Pelodiscus sinensis: one gene and its partner. The protein of the gene in region 2 purifies or fractionates together with the protein of the main gene of each other region. This does not show direct contact. Links are inferred from orthologs where the notes say so. Each region holds a gene or a part of one and is shown on either strand. Other genes may lie near its edges.

Region 1 (7,949 bases), on a different chromosome or scaffold from region 2:
GCTGAACTGTTGGTGGTGCTGCATGAAGGCATATTTTCTCTGATGTCTGTCTGTCCTACTGACCACCACAGTAAACATGATTTGGTCAACGGTTCAAGACAAGAACGATATTATGTCTTACCTGCAGTGATCAAAAGATAAACGCCTAAAATTTGCTTGTGGAATATCTGTTTAAAAAAATAAAAAGCAAAAGAACTTTTTATAAATCCAGAATAGTTTGGGCAGTAAACTTGCTTCTGATACTAATGATTAATACTAGGTGATATATATTTGGAAATTACTGTTTTCGATATATCAAGTTGGCAATTTGGTCCTGACAAAGATAAACAGTCTAAATCCTGTGAAACTAACAAAAATAAAAACTTGACAAACCAGTGCAGAGCAAACCCAAACTCTATTCCACAAATAAAATGGGAAGAGTTAGAAAAGTATTCTTTTAAAGTAATTGAGATACGCCTTGGCCTATCCTTCCACCCTGTCAAATTCTGAAGGTTTTATAGCTACATTATCCCCCTTTTTAAAAATGTTCTTGTCCGTTTTTAAAATTTGCACAGACATCAAAGGTCAAATGTTCCATGAAAGTAAGTTTGAGGAAGGCATTCCAAGCATGAAATTTTAAATCTTAAAAAAAGGGTGGAGATGCAAGAAACAAAAGAGGTTTACGCTGACATCAGGGAGCCGGAGGGGATGAGGAAAAGAGATGGAACACAGGGCTCTGTAGGCAAAGTCACGGAGTTTAGGTTTGGTGGACATAAAGTGAGAAGCTTGGGATGACGTGGTGGAAATAAGAGCATTTTGGTTTTGTGGACATGGTTAACATTAGAGACCTGAAAATAGATTACAAGTGTAGATGTTGCTAGGACATGAATGAGAAATTCAGTTATAGGGAGAGAAATGAGTGAGATTTTCAAATTCTGTGGAGGACAAGACTCAGCCGAAGTCTGACTGTAAGGGGAGAAGTGTGGAATCAAATATAACACCCAGGTTACAAGCATCAGGATCCCACTGTAACTGCTTTGATGTAGCCAAACTGAGATTGAAATGGCAGTGAACTATACAGGATGACATTTCCAGGGATAATGGAAAGAGCAAAGCTAAGAAAAGGATATAAGCCCAGAGGGAAGAAGAATATTTAAAAGTCATTCATGCAAAAGTGATCTGTAATTGCATGTAAACACATGAAATAATCAGGGGAGAAGGCACAGTCGGCAAGGATGGCACCCTGAAAGAGTCCAACAAAATAAAAGGGTAAACAGAAAAAGAGGTACCGAATGCATGTTTGGAAAGTCAGAGCAAGATCCAGGAAAGGATTCAACCAGGAAGGAAAGGAGGATAGGACACAATAAAAGAGAGAGCAGTCAACAAGTTTAAAGGCAACAGAAAGAGGGGGAGCATGGCAAGCAGGCCTTGAGACTTAGCCAAGAGGTCTTTCACAACTTCAATGAGAGAAGAATAAGGAAGAGAAAAACAGACATCAGCACTGAAGTGTGAACATATGTACAAATCAGAAATAATTGTGAAAAATAACAAAAAGAAAACACAGTAACTTACCTGCTTTCTTTCCTCCATAAAAGTGTGTATATTCTGCACATGTTATGTACCTAAAGAGTAAAGCAGTGTTAATGCTTAATACATTGCACTAATGATATTTAGCAGAAACCAATGATTTTTCAAACTGAAAGTTATATTAATAAGAGATATTAAACATTCTTAGCTACCTTTTTTACACTTTTACCCAATATAGCCAACTCTGATATTAGGTGTCACACCTCAATGTTCCCAATACGAAGAGCTTTGGGGCAATACCACAAAAAAAGAGAAACATACTATGTTGCCACCATATCATGCCAGAGACCAAGTTATAACACAGATGACACTTTTGTTTGCTTTATTGTCACTACGGATGATTCCATAACAACATCTGGAAACTGTGCATTAAGCCTTGAAGCAAAGGAACAAGGTTGACCCACAAGTCACTATTATAGCTTTTGTTCTATATTTACCACGCCAAACTTTTCTTCAGTGCCTAACACAGATACCCCAACTCCTGACCAAGCTGTGAGCTTACAAAAAGCTCTCGTACAGAACACAAGTTCTTGGTTCTATCTAGCTTCTTCTGGATCTGGGAGAATAAAGAACTAGCCGGGGGAAGGGGCACAAGAAAAAAGATTCACATTAAGTGAAAGATGTGAATCTGAAGTGCCATTTAAATCCCTTTGTAGAAACTGAGTTGACACACAGATTTAAGTTGCATCACTTCAAGTTCACACCTTCAATTAATCTGTATTAACTTTCCCAGACATCTCGGTACAGACAAATTCTAAGTATCTTCAAGCTACAGGTGTTAAAATGTGTTTATTTAAAATGCATAAATTTTCAGCGAGTACACGTTTACATACGCGGGTGGGAGGAAACAGGAGCTAGTGCTCCTTGCACATACTGGCTTCCACGCCTGCCACCGCCCCCCCGCCTCTGTTAGAAGGGGGGGGAGAAAGGCCCCTTAGTGTGTAATCGTGTAACCAGGGGGAGCAGCTGCCTCTTCGCACCTGCCACTTATGCCCCTGCGCCACCCTCCACCCCTTCATTAGACTAACGGCGCCTAAACCCTGCTCCTGCCGGCCCCGCCCGGGCAGCGCTCGTGGGGGAGAGCCTGGAAGGGGTCGGTCCCGCCACTGGCTCAGAGGACGCGCCGCTCCGCGCGGCTTAGCGGGCTGCCCGCGAGACAGCCGCACGCGCGGGCTCGGACCCCCACGGCCTGTCACGCCCGACAGCGGCCTGGACCGCGGGGAGCCAGGCCCGGCCACTGTCCGCGCGCCTTGAGCCCCGCCAGAACAGCCCCCCCCCTCCTCACATCTTGTCCTTCTGGTGCTGCCTCTTCCCCATGGCGGCGGTTCTGGCTCTTCCCCGGCGCAGGAAACGCGCCCCCTGCCAAGGGGGGACCCCGAAGTGAGGCGGACCAGCGAGCTCCGGCAGGCCAGCTCCCCCAGGGCTAAGCCGGCTGTTCCGGGCACCTCAGCGACTTCCGGTAGTACGGCGTGCGCCGCTAAACTAGTCACGCCGTACAACCCGGGCGCCCCAAGCACCGTTCCGGAAAGAGCCGCGGCCGTGTGAGACGCCGCTACTCGTAGCAGTTTCTGATTGGTACGCTCGTAAGGATCGGCTCCTATAATATATTGCTCCCGGAAGTAGCACCATCTTTGCATAGAGCTGCTCCTGGTAGCAATTACTGACAGGTTTGATTGTAAGACAGCTGCCCTTATAAGACATTGCTACCGAATGCAGCGCAACCCTACAGGGAGCAGCTACATAGTTATAAAGTGTAAGAAACTGCTAGGCTACGTCTACAGTGGCATGTGCCTTTGCGCAAGAGCATTCGTGCCAGTGTAGACACTCTCTTGCACAAGAAAGCTCCAATGGCCATTTTAGCTATCGGGCTTTCTTGCACAAGAAATTCATGTGGCCTGTCTACACTGGCCTCTTGCGCAAGAACAGTTGCACAACAGGGCTTACTCCTGAGCAGGAGCATCATAGTTCTTGCGCAAGAAGCCGTCAGTGTTCTCGCGTCAGTGTTCTCGCACAAGAACTCCCCGCCAGTGTAGACAGGCAGCATGTTTTTGTGGAAAAGCAACTGCTTTTGCGCAAAATCATGCCAATGTAGACACAGTCCTATTGTTAAACACTAATACCAGAGGTAGCCAATTTCTATAGACCCAGTGATTGTTGTCATGTTTCAGGCTTCTTGCCCAGTGCTCCAGTTGAGGATTAATCAGTGCAAAGTACAGCACATTCTTTACTTATTGCATCTTGCTTACAACACAGGTTTGCCATTTTTGCCTTTATACTGTTGACTGGTATTTAGTATGTGGCCCAAACCACTTGCAAACCCCTCTCCATGTGTTATCATTCACAAACTTAATAAGGACACGCTCTAAGCAGAGGTGACTGATGAGGGGGGGATGTGGAGGGCCTGGACTAGAGAACCCACACATCTATTCCTCCCCTTTCTGGCTCTGCCCTTGCCCTGCCTCATCCCCACACATACTGGCAGCATCAGGGGAAGCACAGTAAGGTGGCTCCAGCTCTCTTTGCTCCCCAGGTTACATCGCTCTGCTTCTGTCCACATGTTTTGGGGGATTGTTACTGTTATTGCCCCTCCCGCATCTCAAAGCCATTATCTAAAGCAGTGACAAAGATTTTGAATTGAAATGGATCTAGAACTGATCACTGCAGGACAACACTCATTATGCCCTTATAGCATCACTGTAAACTACTGATAACTACACCCTGGGCACTATTTTCCGAACAGTTTGGCACCCACCGTATTGTAGCTTCATCATGGTTTCATTAGTACCAAAAACATTGCTAAAGTCAAGCTATACCATGTCAATCACTTCCCTCCCATTCAAAAGGCATGTTACCTTGTCAAAGCTATCACGTTAGTTTGACATGACTGCTTATTTATTTGCTCTATCTTTCCCAGTACACAAATGAATATCCTTATTGCCCTTTTCCAGTTTTCTGGAAACTCTGCCATCTTCCATGACTTCAAAGATAATAGTTAATGGCTCAGGTACCAGCTTAGTCATCTCTTTGCGTATTCTAGGATGTGTTCCATCAGACTCCAATGACCCGAAGACATCTAATTTCTCTAAATAATTTTTAACTTGTTCTTTTCCTTTTTTTGCATCTAATCCTACCTCATTGTCTCTGGTCTACACTATGTTTAGCATCCAATCACCACCAACCTTGTTGGTGAAACCAAAACAATCCATTAAGCACCTCTTTCATTTCCACATTTTCTTTTATTGTTTTTCCCCCTCATAGAATAGGCCTACCCTGTACTTTGGTCTTTTCTATACAATGTGTTCTTGTTACCCTTTTTGTCTCTAATTAGAATGAGGTTGCTTTGTATCTCGGCCTTTCTAATTTTGTGCCTAAACACTTGTGTTGTTTGCTTATATTCATCCTTGTAGTTTGACCTAGTTTACAACCTTTTGTGGGACTCTTTCTGGGTTTTTAGATCACTGGGGACACCATGGATAAGCCACAGCTCTCTCTTGCTGTACTTCTAGGCTATATCTACGCTATAGCCTCTTGCGCAGAATATGCAAATGAGGCAAAGCATGGACTATCACAGTGCCTCATTTGCATAATTAATCAGGCTCCTTTTTTGCACAAGAAGCTTTTACGCAAAAGGGAGCCATCTATACCACTCCTTTTTGTGCAAAAACCCCTCTTGCACAAGAGCTGTTCGTCTGCATTTTTTCAGAAAGAATGGCTCTTGCACAAGAGGGGGTTTTGCGAAAAAAAGGGGCCATGTAAATGGATTCTTTTTGCGCAAATGCTTCTTGTGCAAAAATGGAGCCTAATTAATTATGCAAATGAGGCACAGCAATATTCCACGCTTTGCCTTGTTTCCATATTTTTTATGAAAAACAGGGGCATTATAGATATAGCCCTAGTCTTTTCTACCCAATGGGAAAAACTGCCAGCTGTCTTCAAATTTCCTCCCCCTCCCTCGTGAACTTGCTTCCTATAGGACCTTATCATCTCCATGAGTTTGCTAACATCTGTCCTCTTTAAATCCATTGTCTTTATTTTGCAGTTCTCCCTGCCCCTCTTCCGTAAAGTTATTAACTCAGTTGTTTTATGATTACTTTCACTCAAAGTGCCTTTCACTTTTGCATTCTCAACCAGTTTGTCATAACCAAATCTAGAACAGCTCCCCTAGAAGCTTTCTCCATTTTCTGAAACAAAATATCGTCTCCAATTCATTCCAAGAACACGTCCTGCTGTGCTATTTTCCCATCAGATGTCTGGATAGTTGAACTTTCCCCATGACTATGATAACGTAAGGTGGTTGTTTGCTGATATGCCCTGATTAGTTATAAACTTGTATCTGATGTATACAGCATTTTTTTTTTTTAGATAAGACGACAACATTTGCATGCAATACTCAAGATGTGGGTATACCATGAAGTTATATAGAAGTAATAAGATATTATGTGTCTTTACGCTATCCCTTTTTTTATTATATCCAATAGTCTGTTTGATTTTTTGACTGCTGCTGCACATTGGTTCTCTGGAAACACCCACTCATTCACAATGACTGCAAGTTCTGTTTCTTGAGACTCACTCTCCTCAACAGCACAGAGGCTGTGTGACCAGGGATGGGATCATTCTCTTGAGTCCTGGAAAGTCTCATCTATGAATCTCTCTGCATTCCTTAGCTCCTCCAATTCAGCCATCATGGTCTTCCAAAGTCCTTGGGGGTCAGGAGCTCCTTGCACCTACATATAGGACAAATAATCATACATGCTACATTGAGTGCAATGAATAGGATAGGATAGCCCCCGCTGTTGGTGATGGGCTTGTTCCTGCATTCTCTTTTTAGTCTTAGAGCTTATCCTTTTAAAGTTTTTATTTTAAAGAAGTGTAAATACTGTTAAGTGTTCAGTGTACATAGCCCCTGTAAGAGCACATCTATGCTACAGGGAAGAACTCAGGACACTGCTGCAATTGCAAATGTGAATTTCTGACATTTAAAATTTAGTTTAATAAAATGTAAGTGCTCTTGTGTTTGTATGTGTGATTTAGTTCTTATTCCTAATGTGCTGCACCTGCAGCAACTGCAGCTTGACATAGATAATGAGTATTATGTACTATTTCCAAAACTGCTAAAAATCAAGTTATCTTAAAAAAAATCAAAGTACAAGTTCAACCTCTGGTTTGGGACTCTCAGATGTTGCTGGACTAGTTGTAGCAAACATGCATATTTTGATACTGATTATAAGATTATAAGTATGATACATAATGATTTGATGTAATGACTTGCTTATAAGTTCTATAGCTTCTATTTCTCTCTGTGTATCTCTCATGATTAGATAATGTTCAGTGTAAGGCCTTGCTCCCTGTTCAGTATTGCCAATTAAGTTGTACCCCTTTTAGTTATTGATCTTGTTTGAAATTCTATACAATTGTTTGGTATGAATGGAGGGGATGTGTGTGAAAGATGCCCAGGTGATCAAGGAGAAGTGGAAACTTTGAAACATCCATTGTTTCTTGAGGCTGAATTGAATTGGCAGCATTGACAAACCCTGGAGACAGGCAGAGACCCCCACCAAGAGTGAGAAACAATAATGAGAACACCGCCTAAGGGCGGATGACACTGCAAAACCCACAGACTCCAACTGATATGGATAAGAAGGGAAGCCCTTGCCATGGGACTCTGGGTTCCGTCCTGCAAGCCAAGCCTCGGGGGAGTCTCAGAGGAACCCCGACTCCTCACTCAGTCAGCCTTGCTTAGCCAATAGGACTGACTTGAGCCACCATGGACTGGTAACTATGCCCCATCTGCAGGACACGTGTGTGTGTTTGTGTGTGCGTGCGTGTCTTTATAAAGCATTTGCTAACTGCTTCTCTACTGTATTCTCAATAAACACGGTGTATTGCCTTCTCCCTGAAAAAGATCCCATGTAATCTACTTGCCTGTGGTGAGTAGATTTTAGCCCAGCACGGCTGCGCAGCGTGGACAGTGCATGCGCAGCGTGCAGTTCCGCGCGGCTGGCAAGTGAGGCTCGCTGCTGCTTGGTGAGCCCTGGGTATTAATATTTTTTCTATATTGCATTATAGAGCAACATTATACTTCTCTAGTTCTCATTTATATATCAGAAGTCTTATTTGCAGAAAACTTTTCACAAAATCACTATATAATGTACATTTTAGTTACATAACAGGACTATGCACACTACTAGGGATGTGAAGAACTAGTCAACGATCCGATAAGCAAATGCTTATCAGATAGTCTACAAGCTTGTCTATCAAAAAGAGACAACAAGGGGAGGGAGTGCTTCAAAGAGGCAGCGCCACATGGAGCCTGGGACCAGACCCTGGGCTCCACACGGTGCTGCCACTTTGAAATGCCACGTGCAGCTTGGAGCCAGCTAGGG
Region 2 (7,301 bases):
CACTGGGAGATGTAAGATTTATAGCAGGAGTGGGGGATCTAAGGCCCGGAGGCTGGATCTGGCCCCAAAGGCTCGAAGCTACCTCCCACAGCATTAGGGAGCCCGCATGGTGCTCCAACTCCCCTGCCATCCTCCTGCAGGGCTGGAGCATACAAAATCTACTAGCCTGAGCCCTCCAAGGCTCTGGTGTACCAGGGGAATATGGGAAGTGTCATTCTCCTTCTCAGTCAGGGACCACATCAGACAGGGTAGTTTTTTGTTGGTTTTTTTTGTTTCTCATTTGTGTGCAGCCCCCAACTGATTTTCCTGTGGGTCAGTGGCCCCCAACCCAAAAAGTTCTCCACCTCTGATTTATAGGTTTAGTGAAGATTGCTTAGTTTGGTTTGGTACAGCTTTAAGTGGACTTTGCAGTATTGGTGTTAGACATGTTATATACATGAGAAAATAGGAAAGGGGATTATAGTTAACAACAAAAAGCAGGTCACCACTTGTCCGAGCGTGTTCTCTTCCCCTCTCCCCCCAATTGCTGATTGGTGATGCTAAATACTGTTGATCTGTTGGCACTGCTGTTTTCATTGAGCTGATAAATTAGATTTCTACTGGGGAATGAATGAATGAAGGAAATTTTCTGTTCACTTAAGTTCTAGCAAAAGTTGTGACCATTGCAGAAGCCAAAAGAAACTGGAGTTGACTTTACTTCCAACTTCATAATAGGAACATTCCAATTAAAAAAATTATTGGGAAGCAGTTTGTCATTCTAGAGTAATTTGCACTCTTAACTTTTTGTGTGTGTTAATTTTATTCTCAGGCTTTTCTTGCCCAGTGTGATACTGTTGAAGGAAGTATTGGTCAAGAAATGGATAAGCTACAATCAAAGAACTTGGCTCTGGCAGAATGAGGCATCACTCTTGATAAATAGGAGAAATAATTGCTCTGTGAGCAAGAAGAGGAGTTTGCTCTTTGTTTTGGAGCACATATTCAGCTATTTGGTGGTTTTTTTTTAAGCCCAGTCTGTTTAGACTGGTACTAGTCACTCATTACTTGCTGGTTGTCACATTTACCACTCATTCAAAGCTATTCTTTTCAAAAGAAAACAATCCTTCCTGAAGAAAAAAAGTCTTTGATGGGTGGTGATGCATGTTTTAGTTAACTACATACTGTAGCACATTATACAGTTCCAAGAGGTGGGCAAGTTTGGATCATTATATTCTTTTTACAAAGACATTTTTTTAAATTAAGTTTTTCTCAATTCTTATCTTTTCCATTATGTCTTCAAAATTATTTGCAGCTCAAGAAGTTTGAAAACCGTACAAGAGCATATGTTGCAGTTGTAGGACTTTAGCTTGACTGAAAAAAGCAGGTTTATACAATAGTTGGGACATCTAGCATTCGAATAGAACATTTAGAGCAATAAATAGTATCCTGCATCTGTACCAGTTTAATACTTGTATGTGTTCATAAGCATAGGAAAACTTGACTACAGTGGAGGTTGTAACTATTTTAGCCTTAAACTATCAAAATAAATGGAATGTACTGTAACATGTATGGTACTTAATTTAACTGTTTAATTTTCAGTGAATGCATTGGCACTTTTTTCTTGATACGTATTTTGTTATACTGTGTACACAGCGTGTATTTGTTTTCTGTAGTATACTTTTCCTTTGAGTAATGGTGTGAAATGCAACTGGATAATTCATGTTGCTTATATAAGAAGTGGGCAGTCCAATCAAGCTCTGAAAATGGTGCTATTTTATCAGAGTATTTTTGACTGTTTCACTGATTTGCTGTATTTTAGAGAAAATTGCAAGTAATTATCTCTGTTCCCTTTGGAGTTAGTGGATGAATATTTATTAATCTAATGTCTATTATAAAGTAAAATTGTAAAACAATTTTTTAAAAATATTCTGCCACTGATAGCATCTCTTTAACAAGAGTTGCCATTTCACTGCTATTTCTACTTGGAAGTCCTGTGTGACATGTGGCAGTTTGTGACCAAGAAAGCATTTATCAACAAGCACTTGATCTGGTGGCAAACAAGCTCCCTTAACTCTCTCTGGATTCTGTGAAAGTTAAGGGTGTTCTGCATTGCTTGCCAGATGAGAGCATGAGAATCTCTGTGTTTTACGACTGTTTTAAGGTAAGTTCTCTTTACCAGAAAAAAAAATGAAAATATAAGCATTGAACATATTTCAGTTATGTTAAATAATTCCTAATAAAATAAGATCTCAAAATAGTGATAGTCCTCTAATATTTCTCCTACAGTCATAATCAGAGGAAAATTGTTAGTGTCGCAATCTGTTAGCAGATGGGCAATATGGCACTTCTGTATCTTTTTAACAGTTAGTAGTTTGTTATAAAGTTTTTTAAAATGTTATATTATACCAAATATAATTAGATGAAGTGAACATATTTTTCAGTTACATTGCATTTTTCTGTTAAATTGCAGTATTTCTTTAAGGTTTTATCAGTTTACCATAGTACACTCACTTATGATAGTCTGTAAAATCTGCAGTAGACTGAAACTTGACGGATAAGCTCTTGATTTGAAATGAATGTATTTTGTTTTTCATTACTAATCCTTAGAAAGCTGTTTTTAAGATAGGAAGTAATTATATTTTCTGGTTACTGTGATAGCATTCAGGGCTAGCAGTATGGTCATGCTGCCATATTTGCTTGGGACTGCAATGCTATGGAGAGGAGCAGACCTGTATTCATTTCAGTGATGCTCTGATTCAGTATAGCCAGTGTTGCTTCTGGGACAGATCCTGCTACCATTGAAATCAATGGCAAAACTACCAATGAATTCAGTGGGTGCAGGATCAAACTCTTTATCAAGTGAGGAATTAGTCCTCACCTGCTCTAAATATAATCATGATTTTAATTTAGTAAACTTTTAGGGGTTCATGTAATAGAGACCGATTTCCCTCTTTGAGCAGAACTGGGCTGGGCAGGGTTAGATATAAATGCTGTTCCTTAGTAGTTCTTCATCCTTGGGATGTAAGTGACTAGTTGACTGATAAGCAAATGCTTATCCGATAGTTGACTCAAATAGTCACTCCCCCCCATTAGAGACAGGCAGCAAGGAGGGAGAGAGGGAAGCAGAATTCGGTGCTGTGCGGAGCCAGCTTAAAAGCCATTTCCCCCCAACACTGTCTCTGTGAGGAAAAGGGGAGGGGATGCAATGGGGAACTAGCAGCACTTCTGCATTTGAAACATAGCAAGATCAGAAGCACTGTGGGGAGCCTGGGGCAAGCTGGGGACTCTCAGTCCCCTGCTGGCCTGTTCTCCCTGCTTTTGAAATGTACAAGAGCCCCAGGAGGTGCATGCCAAAACTAACAACATTCTTTGAGCTACAGAACCTCAGAATTATAGAATCTCTTGCTCCTAAACGTCTGAGTAACTTAAAATATCAAACTTTTAGTGGTGTTCTTTATGACCCAACTTCTGCTGCTAGTATAGTGGTGTTAATCTGTAATAATTCTTTTGACTTCATTGGAGTTATTCTCAATTTGCATTGGCCCATGGGACAGTACAGAATTTGGCTGGATATTTTTATTTCAGTTATTGAGCTACAGTAAATGAAGGAGGGAAATAAAATTAAATATGGAAAATACAATAAATGTTTGTTTTTGTGATTATTGTGATATAGTACAGAACTCATGCTGATTAATCTATTGACTGTTGATTCTGTACTTAAATGTATAGCAACTTCATTCTATGTAAGTTTTAGAGCAGTGTTTCTCAACCTTTTTTATAAAGTACCACTTTAAAAAATTATAAGTACCCCCCTTTAAAAAATTTATAGGGACCCCCAGTACCTATAGTTTTCAGACACACTTTTTTTCTACCATTGTTTAAACAACTTAATCATAGCCTGGCAGGTGATGAAATTTTTGGGTGTAAAAAGTACAAAAGTAATAAAGTGCTGTAAAACTTTACAAAACAAAAATTCAGTTTTCTCCAATTTTCAGTTGTGTTGATGTACCCCCAAGACTTCTCTTATACCACTAGTTGAGAAACACCATTTTAGAGAATCTACTTGTAACGGAGTTGTATTACTTCTTATGAATAGGATACCTTGGCACATCTCTTCCTATAATGATGTAAGTAATTAAGAATGTTTCACTTACTGAGGCTGGCATGAACAATGGAAGATATAGACAAGTGCTTGCCAAACTCTATTTTCGCACAAAACCAAACAATTATAAAAGGAGAAAGCAGCGATAGATTTAAGGCCCAGTATCCTCTTGATTAGCTGCTGGGGAGGGGATGGTCAGATGTATAGGAAAGTTAGTGATATCTATAAAAATGTGTACAGCCTCTCCCCAAGGCCGTAACGTGATCTGTTCGTAACTCGGACCCCATTGAGTTACATAGTGACCACGCTGTTTGCAAGCCCAGGTTGTGTTCTGACTCAGGGACCGCCTTTACGACCAAAACTTCCATGGAGCAGTCGTAAACGTGAACAGTCGTAACTTGACCGTTTGCAACTTGGGGACCGGCTGTACTTATAGTTTAGGCTTCTCACAGAGCATTCAAAACAATTTCAGGCTGTTAAAGCCTGGCCAGGGGGCTCAATCAGTGTTGTAACCTAACTCCTCTAAACAAAACGATGCTTTGAATTCAGGCAAAGTGCTGAATTTTAAAAAAGTGTGGGTGGGGGGTGACGATGGGTTTGCATAGTCAACTGCTAAGGAAACCCGTCCTTTGGGCTTCCCAAAATCTTCATCTGCAGCTTTCTAACAGAACCACGTGTGCTGCTCTGAGCGGCCGGGCAGGAAGCCTGTCTCTGACGTGACCACCCTGACTTGCGTGAAGCTGCGACAACAAAGCCAGTGACACACGGAACCAGCTCCAGTGTTTGCACCACGGAGACACCAGCTAATGCTCTGCCCTGGACAAGGGCTCAGGGCGGGGCAAGACGAGTGGCTCCAAGGGGGGGAGAGACGCCCCCGCTGCCTCCCTTCTGCTTTCCCACCGCGGCGGCGTTTAGCGTTGGGGGCGGGGCGCTCTCAGGACAGTAGCCCCGCCACGTGCAGCGCGCCCCCGCAACGGACGCAGGCTCCCGCGGCCAGAGCTCGCGCCCCACTAGGACAGGAAGGAAGAGGCACGTGCCATAGCAACTCCGCGTCTAGCTTCGCCCTTCCCCTAGCGCAAGACCGGGGGAAGAGGCGGGACTTGGTGTGTCTCCCCCTTCCGCCGGAAGTGGCTGCGTCTCCGGAGGCAGTTCCGGGCCAAGATGGCGTCGGGCTCGGGGCGGAAGCTGGTACAGCAGGACGAGCTGCGGCGTCTCATGCGGGAGAAGCAGCGACAGGGCGCCGGAAAGAAGCGAATCGAGGCGCCGTTCGCTAAATATCCTTCCGCTTCCCCCCCCCCGACCCGTGCACGTATGAGGGGCCACACACACCCCCATTGCGGGAAGGGGAGTCGTTGTTTAGTGCTCGCCGGGAGCCCGTCTCGCGCCGCCGCGCGGTTCCCTGCTGGCCTGTGTCTCGCGCTCGGCAACCTCGTGCCGGGCTGGTCCGCGGTGTTCTCCTCCAACGCCCCGCCCCGCCCCGGACGCAGGGTCCCACCTGCCCCTGCGCCAGCCCCCTCCTCTTCCTGGCGGCTGCAGGGCCGGCCGGGCTGCTCTGGGCTCCCGGCAAGTGTCGAGTTTGCGACGCTCCCGCCACCCTCAAACTGTAAAACATTTGCAGAGGTGCATGGGCTTGTACAGCCCCCTCCCCCCGAACAGTGACAGGCCCGGGCGCAGGGGCAATGCCCCCTCCCCTTCCTCCCCCCCATGTGCGGAATAACTTTTGTTAGGTGCGCTGAGGTATGTAAGGATGCCACCACCAATAGAAACACAAGCTGCTGGCTATGGGCGTTGCCGAGCGGCATTTGGTGCTCCACTTACAGAGAACGTTGGTTGGTTAGGGGCTGGTTTCCCTGCTTTCCTTAGCAGTGTGTTGCAGCTTTGAAGAGATTGTTACAGTGATGTTTTGCTTTGCTCTTAGCCAGCGTGGACAGTGATGCTATCTGTCAATTTCACATGTTTTTAGACATGGCTTCAATTCTAAAGTGGCTCCTAAATTTTATTGGTTCATGTACCATCTTACAATTTTTTTTGTCAGAGGTAACAATTTGGGTACTCCTGCATATGACAGCATAATGTTTTGTTTACACGACACGGGAGTCTTTAAACAGAAATAGCTTTTTATTGGTATACAAAAAATTATAAAATTCTGGCATGTAATAGTAATGACATTTAAAAAAAATACCTACATCGTGGGCTTCACTTCCCCCTTTGAAAATAGTGTTTTTAAATTATCTACAAATTGGAAATTCAGAATTACAATTTTGAAGACTGTGTGATCTTGAAATATTTCCTCAACTTTGAAATGTACATATAACCGTTTAGGACACTTAAGTTGTACATTGTGCAACACTCAGATTAAGAATGAACTTTTGTGGCAAACTCACATACTTGGGAAACAACACAAAGAGGTAAGACTTTGAAGATACAGCAACATTTATGAGTTAATTCATAATCCTTCTGTTTGAGTAAGTTGTACAACTTATAGATTAGATAAAAGTTCAGAAATTTCCCATTTGAGTTCTTTTAGAACCCTTGGATGAATGCCATCCGGTCCCGGAGATTTGTTAACATTAAGTTTTTCTATTTGTTCCAAAACCTCCTCTAATGACACTTCAATCCAGGACAGTTCCTCAGATTCATCACTCACAAAGGACGGTGCAGATTTGGGAATCTCCCCCAACGTCCTCAGCCGTGAAGACTGAAGCAAAGAAATCATTTAGTTTCTCTGCAATGGCTTTATCGTCCTTGATCGCTCCTTTTATAGTTCGATCATCTAGGGGACCCACAGGTTTTTTAGCAGGCTTCCTGCTTCTAATGTACTTAAAAAACATTTTGTTGTTTCTTTTTGAGTTTTTGGCTAGCTTTTCCTCAAAATCTTTTTTTGCTTTTCTTATTACATTTTTACACTTTTTTGACAGTGTTTATGTTCCTTTCTATTTATCTCACTAGGATTGGACTTCCACTTCTTAAAAGATACCTTTTTGTCCCTCACTGCTTCTTTTACATGGTGATTAAGCCACGGTGACTCTTTTTTAGGTCTCTTGCTATGTTTTTTAATTTGGGGTATACATTTAAGTTGGGCTTTTATTATGGTGTCTTTAAAATGTTTCCATACAGCTTGCAGGGATTTGGCTACAGTCACTGTGCCTTTTAACCTCCTCATTTTTGTGTAATTCCCCTTTTTGAATTTAAATGCCAAGGTGCTGGACTGCTGAGGTGTTCT

The links. Proteins that work in one complex are often made in the same cells at the same time.
Region 1: the proteins of ZNF830 (region 2) and PPIL2 purify together in Homo sapiens (co-immunoprecipitation; 4 studies listed by BioGRID and IntAct, counting the BioPlex papers as one, with this or other methods). This does not show direct contact. The link is inferred for Pelodiscus sinensis from reciprocal best matches to the Homo sapiens genes ZNF830 and PPIL2.

Annotation. Positions count from the first base shown.
Region 1 is NC_134725.1:17,530,047-17,537,995, forward strand, and holds the start of PPIL2 (RING-type E3 ubiquitin-protein ligase PPIL2), read right to left. Parts: upstream 3,074-7,949; 5' UTR 2,884-3,073; coding exon 2,852-2,883; intron 1,602-2,851; coding exon 1,552-1,601; intron 168-1,551; coding exon 122-167; intron 1-121. UniProt on the Homo sapiens protein: Has a ubiquitin-protein ligase activity acting as an E3 ubiquitin protein ligase or as an ubiquitin-ubiquitin ligase promoting elongation of ubiquitin chains on substrates.
Region 2 is NC_134712.1:149,974,801-149,982,101, reverse strand, and holds the start of ZNF830 (zinc finger protein 830), read left to right. Parts: upstream 1-4,259; 5' UTR 4,260-5,239; coding exon 5,240-5,356; intron 5,357-6,390; coding exon 6,391-6,486; intron 6,487-7,301. Other genes in the region: BAG1 (BAG family molecular chaperone regulator 1), read left to right, coding at 809-898.